Linked DNA regions of Arabidopsis thaliana. The protein of the gene in region 1 purifies or fractionates together with the protein of each later gene. This does not show direct contact. Each region holds a gene or a part of one and is shown on either strand. Other genes may lie near its edges.

Region 1 (5,239 bases):
AACAAGGTTCAATTATTGGATAATATATTGTGGATGATACCTACACTAATATAAACTTGTGCATCAGTGGTTAGGTGTGGGGTCAGTGTCGGTGATAATCCGGTTGACGTATTAGATGATAGTTAACATTATTTATCAGAAACATTCGGGGAGGGTGACGACAATAGTATATAGTGTTCAATTTATATTTCTCCGTTTTCATTCTTAATAAAATAAAGCTTACAAGTGGTGGGATGATTCATGAAAGCAAATACGATGAGGCAATGGTGTGACTATATTTTATAAGTTAAAATTTATATGTTGTGATTACATTTGACTTTTAAATCATATAAATTATCTTATCTATTTGTTTTTCCAATTTGCTCTTTTCTTCTTTAACCAAAAAACCAAAAAAAAAAAAAAAAAATTGCTCTTTTCTTTTCATTTGATTCTACTATAGGCCAATTAAAGTTGCTGGTTACCGCAATAACGCGGTACGTTTTTCCGTTTGTAGTTAATTCGGTTTATAATCCAGAAATCCGAACCGGAAAATTGAATTAAACCAAACAAGAGGGACTCCTAACAAGTCTGATTCAGGTTGAGATCAGAGACTTCTCTTTTGCGTTATCTTTTGCAGTCTATGATACAATATTACAATCTACCTGGTTTCACATCGAATGTTGAGATCACGAGAGAAGACACACCAGATACAGAGATCTAGAAAGAACCATATGAAAAAAGTGGGATAACAAACATAGCAAAGGTTTGAGATTAACCAGATAAATGAATGTTTGGTTAAACTTTAACCAGAGTCATATCTCCAAAAGAAGCAGCAACATTTGAAGCCTAGGAGCAACTCAATACATTGTTAAACGTTAAGCAGAGCTTGGTCCAGAAGATTGGAAATCCTCAAGCAAGCCAAACAAAAACTGGACAGCTTCGCATATATCTCATAGCAAGTTACCAACTCTAGCATCGATTAAGGGTCAGACATGGAACTTTTTCTCTCATTCCTGCACCAAGTTTAAGAGATTCAGACATATGTTCACAAAACTTAAACAGCAAATTCTTCGGCGTAGGCACTTGTCTAGTCACCATTTCTCAGACAACCAATTCAGGTTCAGCTTTTTCTGCAGGAACATGATTTTGGAAAAGTGTTTGGTAATCCAAGTTTCTAGCGGTTTCAAAGAAATGAGCCACGGCTTCCTCTGGTGTCCCTACCAAGACACCGTGTCCTAGATTGAGAATATGCCCTTTTGGTCCAGCACACTTCACAACTCTGACACAAAACATACATTTCTTTCAGTTTCTTAATTTGAATTATAAGCACTACTTTTTTATTCAGCTGAACAAAGTGACCTACCTTTCAATTTCTTCGGTCAAAGCAGGAAGCGGAGAGAATAGGTAAGCTGGATCAACATTTCCCTGCACACTTACCTCGCTTCCCAATCGCCTCCTTCCATCAGCCATATCTACAGTCCAGTCAAGTCCAATAACATCAGCTCCAGTTCCTTTCATTCGCTCAAGAAGGCCACCATTTCCATTGATGTAGAAAACTATCGGCGTATCTGGACATCTTTTCTTTACAGCATGTATGATCTGGCGAGCCCAAATGGCAGAAAAAAAAAACGTTAAAACGCGAAAAGAAAATGTTTCAACTTTCAAGTAATCAAGTTGAAAGCATTTAATTGTACCTCTTCAATGTATGGTTTGGACCAGCGCTCCCACATCTCCGGAGTCAGTTGGCCACCCCAGGAATCGAATATTTGTATGCAGTGAGCTCCGTGCTCAACTTGGTAAACCACATACTCGGTAATGGCCTTGGTTAAATGAGATAATAGAGCTCTCAATACATCTGGTGCAGTGTGGCACATATTCTTTATGACTGTATATGTTCGAGTTGTTCCTCCTTCAACAATATATGTTGCAATTGTCCAAGGCGCTCCAACGAAACCCAACACCGCAGCATGTTCCCCAACCTTTCAAAACAAGAATCCATTTTCACAAACTGGAAGACATTTGGTCAAGTCTAGGGGAAGGCTAAGAAGAAGAAGAAAACCACCTCTCGTCTCAAAATCTTGAGAGAATCTCCAACAAACTGTAGTTTCTCGAAATCAATGGGATGTAATCTCTTCATATCTTCTTCAGTTCGGATAGGAGATTGGATTACAGGACCTTTTACCTCTTCAATATCAAAAGGGACACCGAATGCAGGTAAAGGGGTGAGGATGTCAGAGAAAATGATGACACCGTCTGGTCTGAATGCTTGCCAAGGCTGCAAAGAGATTTCCACTATTAGATCAGTGTTCTCTGATCTCTCTCTGAAGGACGGATGTTTCTTGGCGAGCTTTTGGTAAACAGCCATATACCTTCCTGCTTGCCTCATCATCCAAGCTGGAGGACGACTTATGGCTTGCCCTTTTGCAGCCTTAACCAAAAGTGGATCTGATTACACATTTTGAACAAAATGTGTAAATGTGAGAAAGCTTCTTTAGACTTACAAAAGTATAAGGCTACAGATTCATTTATCCTGATTAGCTAAATTTCAAGTGAAGTGACCCAAAACTGGAAATTTCAATCTATTCCACAAGCTCACAAGCGAAAAAAAGAGCATTTCAAGGGCAACATTCATGCTCAACATCTAAACTCAGGCTTAATTAAAAATATGACATTCCAATGAGCAGCTAGTAACCCGAATCGACTAAAATCATTTCAATATCAAAAAGCATAAATCATTATGTACCGGAAGAGGAGGAGGAGCAAGCCACTACGAACTTCCGAGCAGCAATACTGTATCTTTTTGGGTAACAAACCAATCCCACATTGATGGGATTCGATCCAAATCCAATCGGAAACGATAATCCCGAGGAGTAACATCTGGACGAGCTACAAGCACTGTCTACAACAGAATTTAGCAAAAGCAAAGTACTAAAATTGGCATAACAGTAATCGAAAGAACAAAAATTGGAACTTTATCGGACCTGGTTGGCGATGATAAGCTCATTTTCAATCAGAGAAGAACCCAAGAGTTTGAAGATCAAATGCTTTCTGATTTTGCCCGCTCCTTGGGCCGGTCTGGTTAGATATTTCCTTATCGCCGAGGGGAGACGAGAGAGATGAGATTCAAGGTTTGACCTTTTTAAGTCAATCACTTCGACGGCTGTAATGATGCCACGTATGATCTATCTGGATAATACTAGGACCCACCTTCCGGATTTCTTTGTTGCTTCTCCTTTGGCCTTTGGGGGTAATATTTCCGGTACGATTCGCTGGTTCGGTATTGAGCAATTTGATATCAATTCAGATTGATCGGTTAATTGTCACAGCAGAGTGTTTTGCGCAGAACAAACACAATTCAGATTCTGTTTTGCACTGTGAGATGGATTCAAATCGATCGGTTGATAAATCATTAAGACATTAACCGGTTCTGTTACATTCAGTTCAGATACCGGTTCACTGTGATCCTTGTTGACCAGAAAGACAATGTATGAAAAGTTGAAAAAACCGAAGAAACATTAAGGAACTGTTTATTTTTAATTGTGATCTTTCTTTCTCCACTGTCTCTGGTCATATATCAAGCAAGTAAGGGGTGTTGTCTTGGTAAATGCTCGAGCCGTGGAGGCAGCTTCAGTGTTTTCTTCTTGCAAACAGATTCAACCTTGTCATAGAGAATAGTGTAGTTGTAACTACTGATGTTTCTGAAGTAACATTGGTCACTTCCAACATAGTTATACACTTGTTGTGTGCTTCCATATCCACTGACCACTAAGTTATTCTTCACCACCATTACTCCTTGCCCTTCTTGCTTGTTTTCAAGCTTGCTCTTAAACGTTCTCATCAACCCTTTGTCGCTCTCTGATCTCTCCTCGTTGAATGCCATCGAGACATTCGCTACCGCCAGATATGTGTTATTCTGCTGCTCCAAAGTGTCAGAGTCGAGGTAAAAAGGAAAACTCTTGATAGATTTCGCTGCGTAGATCTCTCTGGAGGCTCTCTTGGCATGAATACGATCATCAGCTTGGATCAATTGATCTATGATCTGCAAGTTCCCATCTTTACCTAAAACCATCTTGTTCTCGTAGCTAAATTCTTGATTAGCATTAGTTATAATGTCCCCATGAGAAGATTTAACCAACCCAACCGAAGTTATCGACCTCTTTGCTTTCGTGGTGAAGTTTCCATTCAAGCCTTTAAAATCCGAGACAGAGCTAATCTCCAGAGAGCTTCTACTGAAATCCAACACCTTCCCTTCAACAATCTCCTTCTCTTGATCCAACCAAAGATGCAAATTCGCATCAATATACCAAACATTCAAAGCATTTGTAACACTAAACCCCACCTTATGAGTCTTCCCATCTAACAAACTTCCCAAGAACGGCGTGATCTCGATATCGTAACTCGGCAAATCAAAAGAGCCAATAGCAGTAATTGGTCTCCAAAGCAAAGGATTAATCCCACCGGTGAAAACAACAGGGAAAGGCCAAACAGCACCAGCAATATCACCGTCAAGACTAACCACAACTTCTCTAAAAGGTCCATTACCAGCAACACTAAGATTATTAGCAGTAACATAGTCATTAGGAAGATTTCCATACCAAAACTCATCATTCTCATGAAAAGAAACATAAACCTCAAGCACAGCTCTATAAACATTCCTAGGAATCTCAAACTCCTTATACTTGGTATCATTCGAATTCACAATTTCAAACCACAATCCATCGTTCAACGGAAGATTTCTCGAAATCGGCAGGATCATATCAGCTTTAGAAGAGCTATAACCAGAAACATCTTGAAGATTACTTTCGGATTGATAGAAATGGAAGATGACATCAACATGGTAAACACCAGTATAGGTTTTATCGATAAGATTACCAAGATAAACAGAGAGAATCTGAGTCTCGTTTTTGACGAGCAAAGAGTGATACTTGGTCACATCTTTCTCGACAGACCAAACAATTCCGTTTGGTCTAGGCTCGGCGGTGCAGCTCCGGAGAATCTCAACGCCGTCAAGCCAAACACCGAAGATACGATCGAATTGTCTTCCTTGGCTGGTGGATTTGAATTCGAGGACGATTTTGGAGAATTCTCGAGAGGAGCAGTGAGAGGGGAGTGTGTAATTGGAGAGAACCGGTGGTTTAGCGTAGGTGTAGCCAAAGTCATGGTGGAGGATTTGATACGAACACGGTTGTTGAGCTGTCGGGAGATTTGGAACGGGAGGTTTTTGAACCTCGAAGTAGCGAGTAGGGGATTTTGTGACGTT
Region 2 (4,411 bases), on another chromosome or scaffold:
ACAAGCGATGAGGTTCTTTTCTCTGATATATGATATATTCATGAGCTGACTCTGGTTTCCCTCTGCATACTGACATTTGTTTTGCGTGTGTGTTTGGTTTCAAGATTGATGAAGTCCTCGGGGAGAATGCTGATCTTTTCAAGGAGCATTATTATGTTAAGAAATCAGGTAACTGCGATCTTTCGAGCAGGAGTGACCCGCACAATGAATTTGCTGGGAAGAACGTGCTGATCGAAAGAAATGAGACGTCTGCTATGGCATCAAAGTTTAGCCTCTCTGTTGAGAAGTATCAGGAGATATTAGGTGAATGCCGAAGAAAGCTTTTCGATGTCAGATTGAAGCGACCTAAGCCGCATCTAGATGATAAGGTAATACTCTTCTTGGAATTCTCATGTTGTCTTCTCTACTGTTTCTTCAGATTTGTTAACCATTTAAGATTTCTTTCATAGATAATCGTGTCTTGGAACGGTCTTGTTATCTCGTCTTTCGCAAGAGCTTCCAAGATTCTTAAGGCTGAGCCTGAAAGCACCAAATATTATTTCCCTGTGGTGAATAGTCAGGTAATGAATGCTACACCCTTTCCTTTAATTTCTTCTTTGACCGTTTTGTAATTAGAAGACTCATTTTTCAGCCAGAGGATTACATAGAGGTTGCAGAGAAAGCAGCTTTGTTTATCAGAGGAAATCTCTATGATGAGCAGTCTCGCAGATTACAACACAGTTACAGACAGGGGCCATCCAAAGCTCCTGCCTTCTTAGACGATTATGCTTTCTTGATCTCTGGTTTACTCGATCTTTACGAGAATGGAGGTGGGATCGAATGGCTTAAGTGGGCGATTAAACTTCAAGAAACACAGGCAAGTGAGATCTTTACTAGCTCGATTTGTTAAAGTTCTTGATTTTGGCTAAAAAAGTTAAAAACATTTTAGGATGAGTTATATCTGGACCGAGAAGGAGGAGCATACTTCAATACTGAAGGACAAGACCCATCGGTTCTTCTTCGTGTAAAAGAAGATCATGATGGTGCAGAACCTTCAGGGAACTCTGTTTCTGCTATCAATCTTGTGAGGTTAGCTTCCATAGTCGCCGGAGAAAAAGCTGAATCCTACCTCAACACGGCACATCGTCTCCTGGTAAACAAACAAACAACTAATCCCATTTGCTATTCATAGAAAGAGATTATTGAGTCTCTTTGTTGTTGTTTTTGCAGGCAGTCTTTGAGTTGAGGTTAAGAGAACTGGCGGTGGCTGTGCCATTAATGTGCTGCTCCGCAGATATGATCTCTGTTCCGTCGAGGAAACAAGTTGTATTGGTTGGTTCTAAGTCTTCCCCAGAGCTTACCAACATGCTTTCTGCAGCACATTCAGTCTATGATCCTAATAAAACGGTAAGAGCTTAAAAAATTATCCAAATTTCTAGATTCAAGATTTGTGACTTTTGGTGGTTTTACTGAGCAGGTGATTCACATAGATCCCTCTAGTTCTGATGAAATCGAGTTTTGGGAAGAGCATAACAGTAATGTAGCTGAGATGGCTAAGAAGAACAGAAACTCAGAGAAAGTGGTGGCTCTTGTTTGTCAACACTTCACTTGCAGTCCTCCTGTCTTTGACTCTTCTTCTCTCACTCGCTTGCTTTCCAAGTAAACAAAGATCATTCCATGTTTAATAGTTGCTTGTACTGTAAGGAACAGATCAACGTTGTTCTCTCTGTTACAGTCTTACAGAGTAGATAAATAAAGAAGAGAACTAAACCGAGTATGAGGTTTTTTGGTTGAACTAAACCGGAAATAACCGGGTTTGGTTTGGTTAAAAAAACAGAGCTTTGACGATTCCTTATCATCTTCTATCTTCAGCAAAAAGGTGAAAACTTGGATTCGATCGATCGCTGAAAATGGCGTCTCACTCTTCGACTCTCTTCACTTCTCCTTCTTCCTTCATTCTCTTCTCTTCTCATCGTCTCAAATCTTCTCCGAATTACTTCACTTACCACTTTCCTCGTTCCGTAAAGAGACCACATTTCGACTTGCGATGCTCAGTCTCAATCGAGAAAGAAGTTCCGGAAACAGAAAGACCTTTCACTTTCCTCAGAGTCTCCGACGGCGATCAAACTCAATCTTCTTCTTATTCGGTTAGGGCTCGTTTCGAGAAAATGATAAGAACTGCTCAAGATAAAGTCTGTGAAGCCATTGAAGCAGTCGAAGAAGGTCCTAAATTCAAGGAAGATGTTTGGTCTCGACCCGGTGGAGGTGGTGGAATCAGTCGTATTTTGCAAGACGGAAATGTATGGGAGAAAGCTGGAGTTAATGTCTCTGTGATTTATGGTGTTATGCCTCCTGAAGCTTATAGAGCTGCTAAAGCTGCCACGTCTGAGCAAAAACCTGGTCCGATTCCGTTCTTTGCCGCTGGAACCAGCTCGGTGAGTTCTCTCTCTCTCTCTCTATCAGTCGACATTGCTGTTGATATGGTCTCTGAGTTCTTTGATTGAGCTTGATCCTACATTCTAGGTTTTGCATCCTCAGAACCCTTTTGCTCCGACTCTGCATTTCAATTACCGCTATTTCGAGACCGATGCTCCAAAGGGTAAGACCTTAATCCTCTTTGAGAAGTGTAAAGTTCCAATTTTTTGGTTGGATGAAGCATTTGATTTCATCACTTGTAGATGTTCCTGGAGCTCCGAGGCAATGGTGGTTCGGTGGTGGGACTGACTTCACACCTGCTTACATCTTTGAAGAAGACGTCAAGCACTTTCATTCGGTCGTTAAACCTGATCCATTGTTCTGAAAGTTTGAAGCTTTGTGATTATGGAGATGCTGATTGAAATATCTTTCTTTGTGTAGGTTTAAAAGCAAGCCTGCGATAAATTTGATCCGTCGTTCTACCCTTGGTTTAAGAAATGGTGTGATGACTACTTTTACATTAAGGTCTGCAGTTCCTTTAACGCTATTCTGATTGTTTGGTGAGATCTTAGCACTTTGTGGAACTAAAAGACCTTAGTTTTAGAGTCATGTATGTGCAAGAATAGATTTAGAGCCTCAAGGTTTTGTTTAGGTTGATACAGTGATAAGTTGTCGCCTAGGATTTGAAAACACTAAAAACTTTACGGTCTTGCCTGCAGCACCGTGATGAGAGGCGAGGGCTTGGAGGGATATTTTTTGATGATTTGAATGACTATGATCAAGAGATGCTTCTGTCATTCGCCACTGGTAGTGACCAAGATATAACTTGTGACATTTTGTTTTAAGAAACTTCCTAGTTGACTTATTTGAATACTGAGATGAATTTTGCAGAATGTGCAAGCTCAGTGATACCAGCTTCTATACCCATAGTAGAGAAACGTAAAGACACACCATTTAACGAGCAACACAAGGCATGGCAACAGCTGCGAAGGGGCAGATATGTTGAATTCAACTTCGTAATTGGATACTACTAGCTTTGTTTTTCTTTCTGTATAAATATCTCTTGAAACCTCGTCTCATGTTTTGTTGCTGATGGTAAAAATAAAGGTGTATGACCGCGGAACAACATTTGGTCTGAAGACTGGAGGACGAATAGAGAGTATCCTTGTCTCTCTTCCGCTATCTGCGAGATGAGAATATGACCATGTAAAGTTTCTTGATTCAAGAAACTAAATCTTGTTTCATCTTAGCTAATGAAACTTAACTACTGATGGTGTTTGTCTCTTGTTGCGGATGCAGAAACCTGAAGAAGGAACTGAGGAATGGAAACTATTAGATGCTTGTATCAATCCAAAAGAGTGGCTTTAGTTAATTAATTGTGGTTATTTCCCCAATTAGCTCTTTTATTAGTTTTGTCTTTAAAAGCCTTAAAAGAGTAAAGAGTCTAATGAAAAGTGAGTGAGATAAAGAAATTGTAATTTGGCGTCATCTCATCATGAGTCACTGACAAACAAAGATCATGATGGTTGATGATGGAGTATATAGTACCAATCGTGATGATGATGATAAAAGTAATTAACTTTTAATTTTTTTTACTGACACAGTAAAAATAAGAGCCGTTGGCTCAAATAGCCGAGCCTCTCGGTGCACGCACGCATGCCACTTGCTCGGTAACTGTTCACTAGACAGAACACAACAACACTCAAATAGAGTGATAACATTGAATCTGATGATTTGGTTTAGTATAAAAATCGTTTCCAAGTTTCAACGAGTGGGACTTGTGTTAGGTTAAACAATTTCGGATTAAGTAAACGTCACTGTCTCATTTGTCTTGATACAAGAAACGCCCGTGATATTTTTTCTTCGATGTCGTCCAATGGGGACAAAGAAACAATTTAGTCCCCGGATATACACACACACACACAAATAATACATGGGTGTTGTTATTATGGCTTACCTTACACAACACAACTTGCCAATGTTTTTAAATTTACTAAAAACCAAAGCCAGAAGATAT

Evidence for each region. Proteins that work in one complex are often made in the same cells at the same time.
Region 2: the proteins of HEME1 (region 1) and hemf2 fractionate together in Arabidopsis thaliana (co-fractionation; one large-scale study listed by BioGRID). This does not show direct contact.

What each region holds. Positions count from the first base shown.
Region 1 is NC_003074.8:5,018,419-5,023,657, reverse strand, and holds HEME1 (Uroporphyrinogen decarboxylase), read right to left. Parts: upstream 3,198-5,239; 5' UTR 2,984-3,197; coding exon 2,961-2,983; intron 2,879-2,960; exon of another isoform or gene 2,875-2,878; coding exon 2,723-2,874; intron 2,425-2,722; coding exon 2,042-2,424; intron 1,959-2,041; coding exon 1,674-1,958; intron 1,579-1,673; coding exon 1,343-1,578; intron 1,259-1,342; coding exon 1,081-1,258; 3' UTR 512-1,080; downstream 1-511. Other genes in the region: AT3G14920 (Peptide-N4-(N-acetyl-beta-glucosaminyl)asparagine amidase A protein), read right to left, coding at 3,554-5,239.
Region 2 is NC_003075.7:1,410,925-1,415,335, forward strand, and holds hemf2 (Coproporphyrinogen III oxidase), read left to right. Parts: upstream 1-1,860; 5' UTR 1,861-1,889; coding exon 1,890-2,414; intron 2,415-2,502; coding exon 2,503-2,578; intron 2,579-2,657; coding exon 2,658-2,779; 3' UTR 2,780-2,835; coding exon of another isoform or gene 2,836-2,841; 3' UTR 2,842-3,600; intron 3,601-3,693; 3' UTR 3,694-3,858; downstream 3,859-4,411. Other genes in the region: AT4G03200 (catalytics), read left to right, coding at 1-12, 105-368, 450-560, 632-856, 929-1,132, 1,210-1,386, 1,457-1,642. UniProt on the Arabidopsis thaliana protein: Key enzyme in heme biosynthesis. Catalyzes the oxidative decarboxylation of propionic acid side chains of rings A and B of coproporphyrinogen III.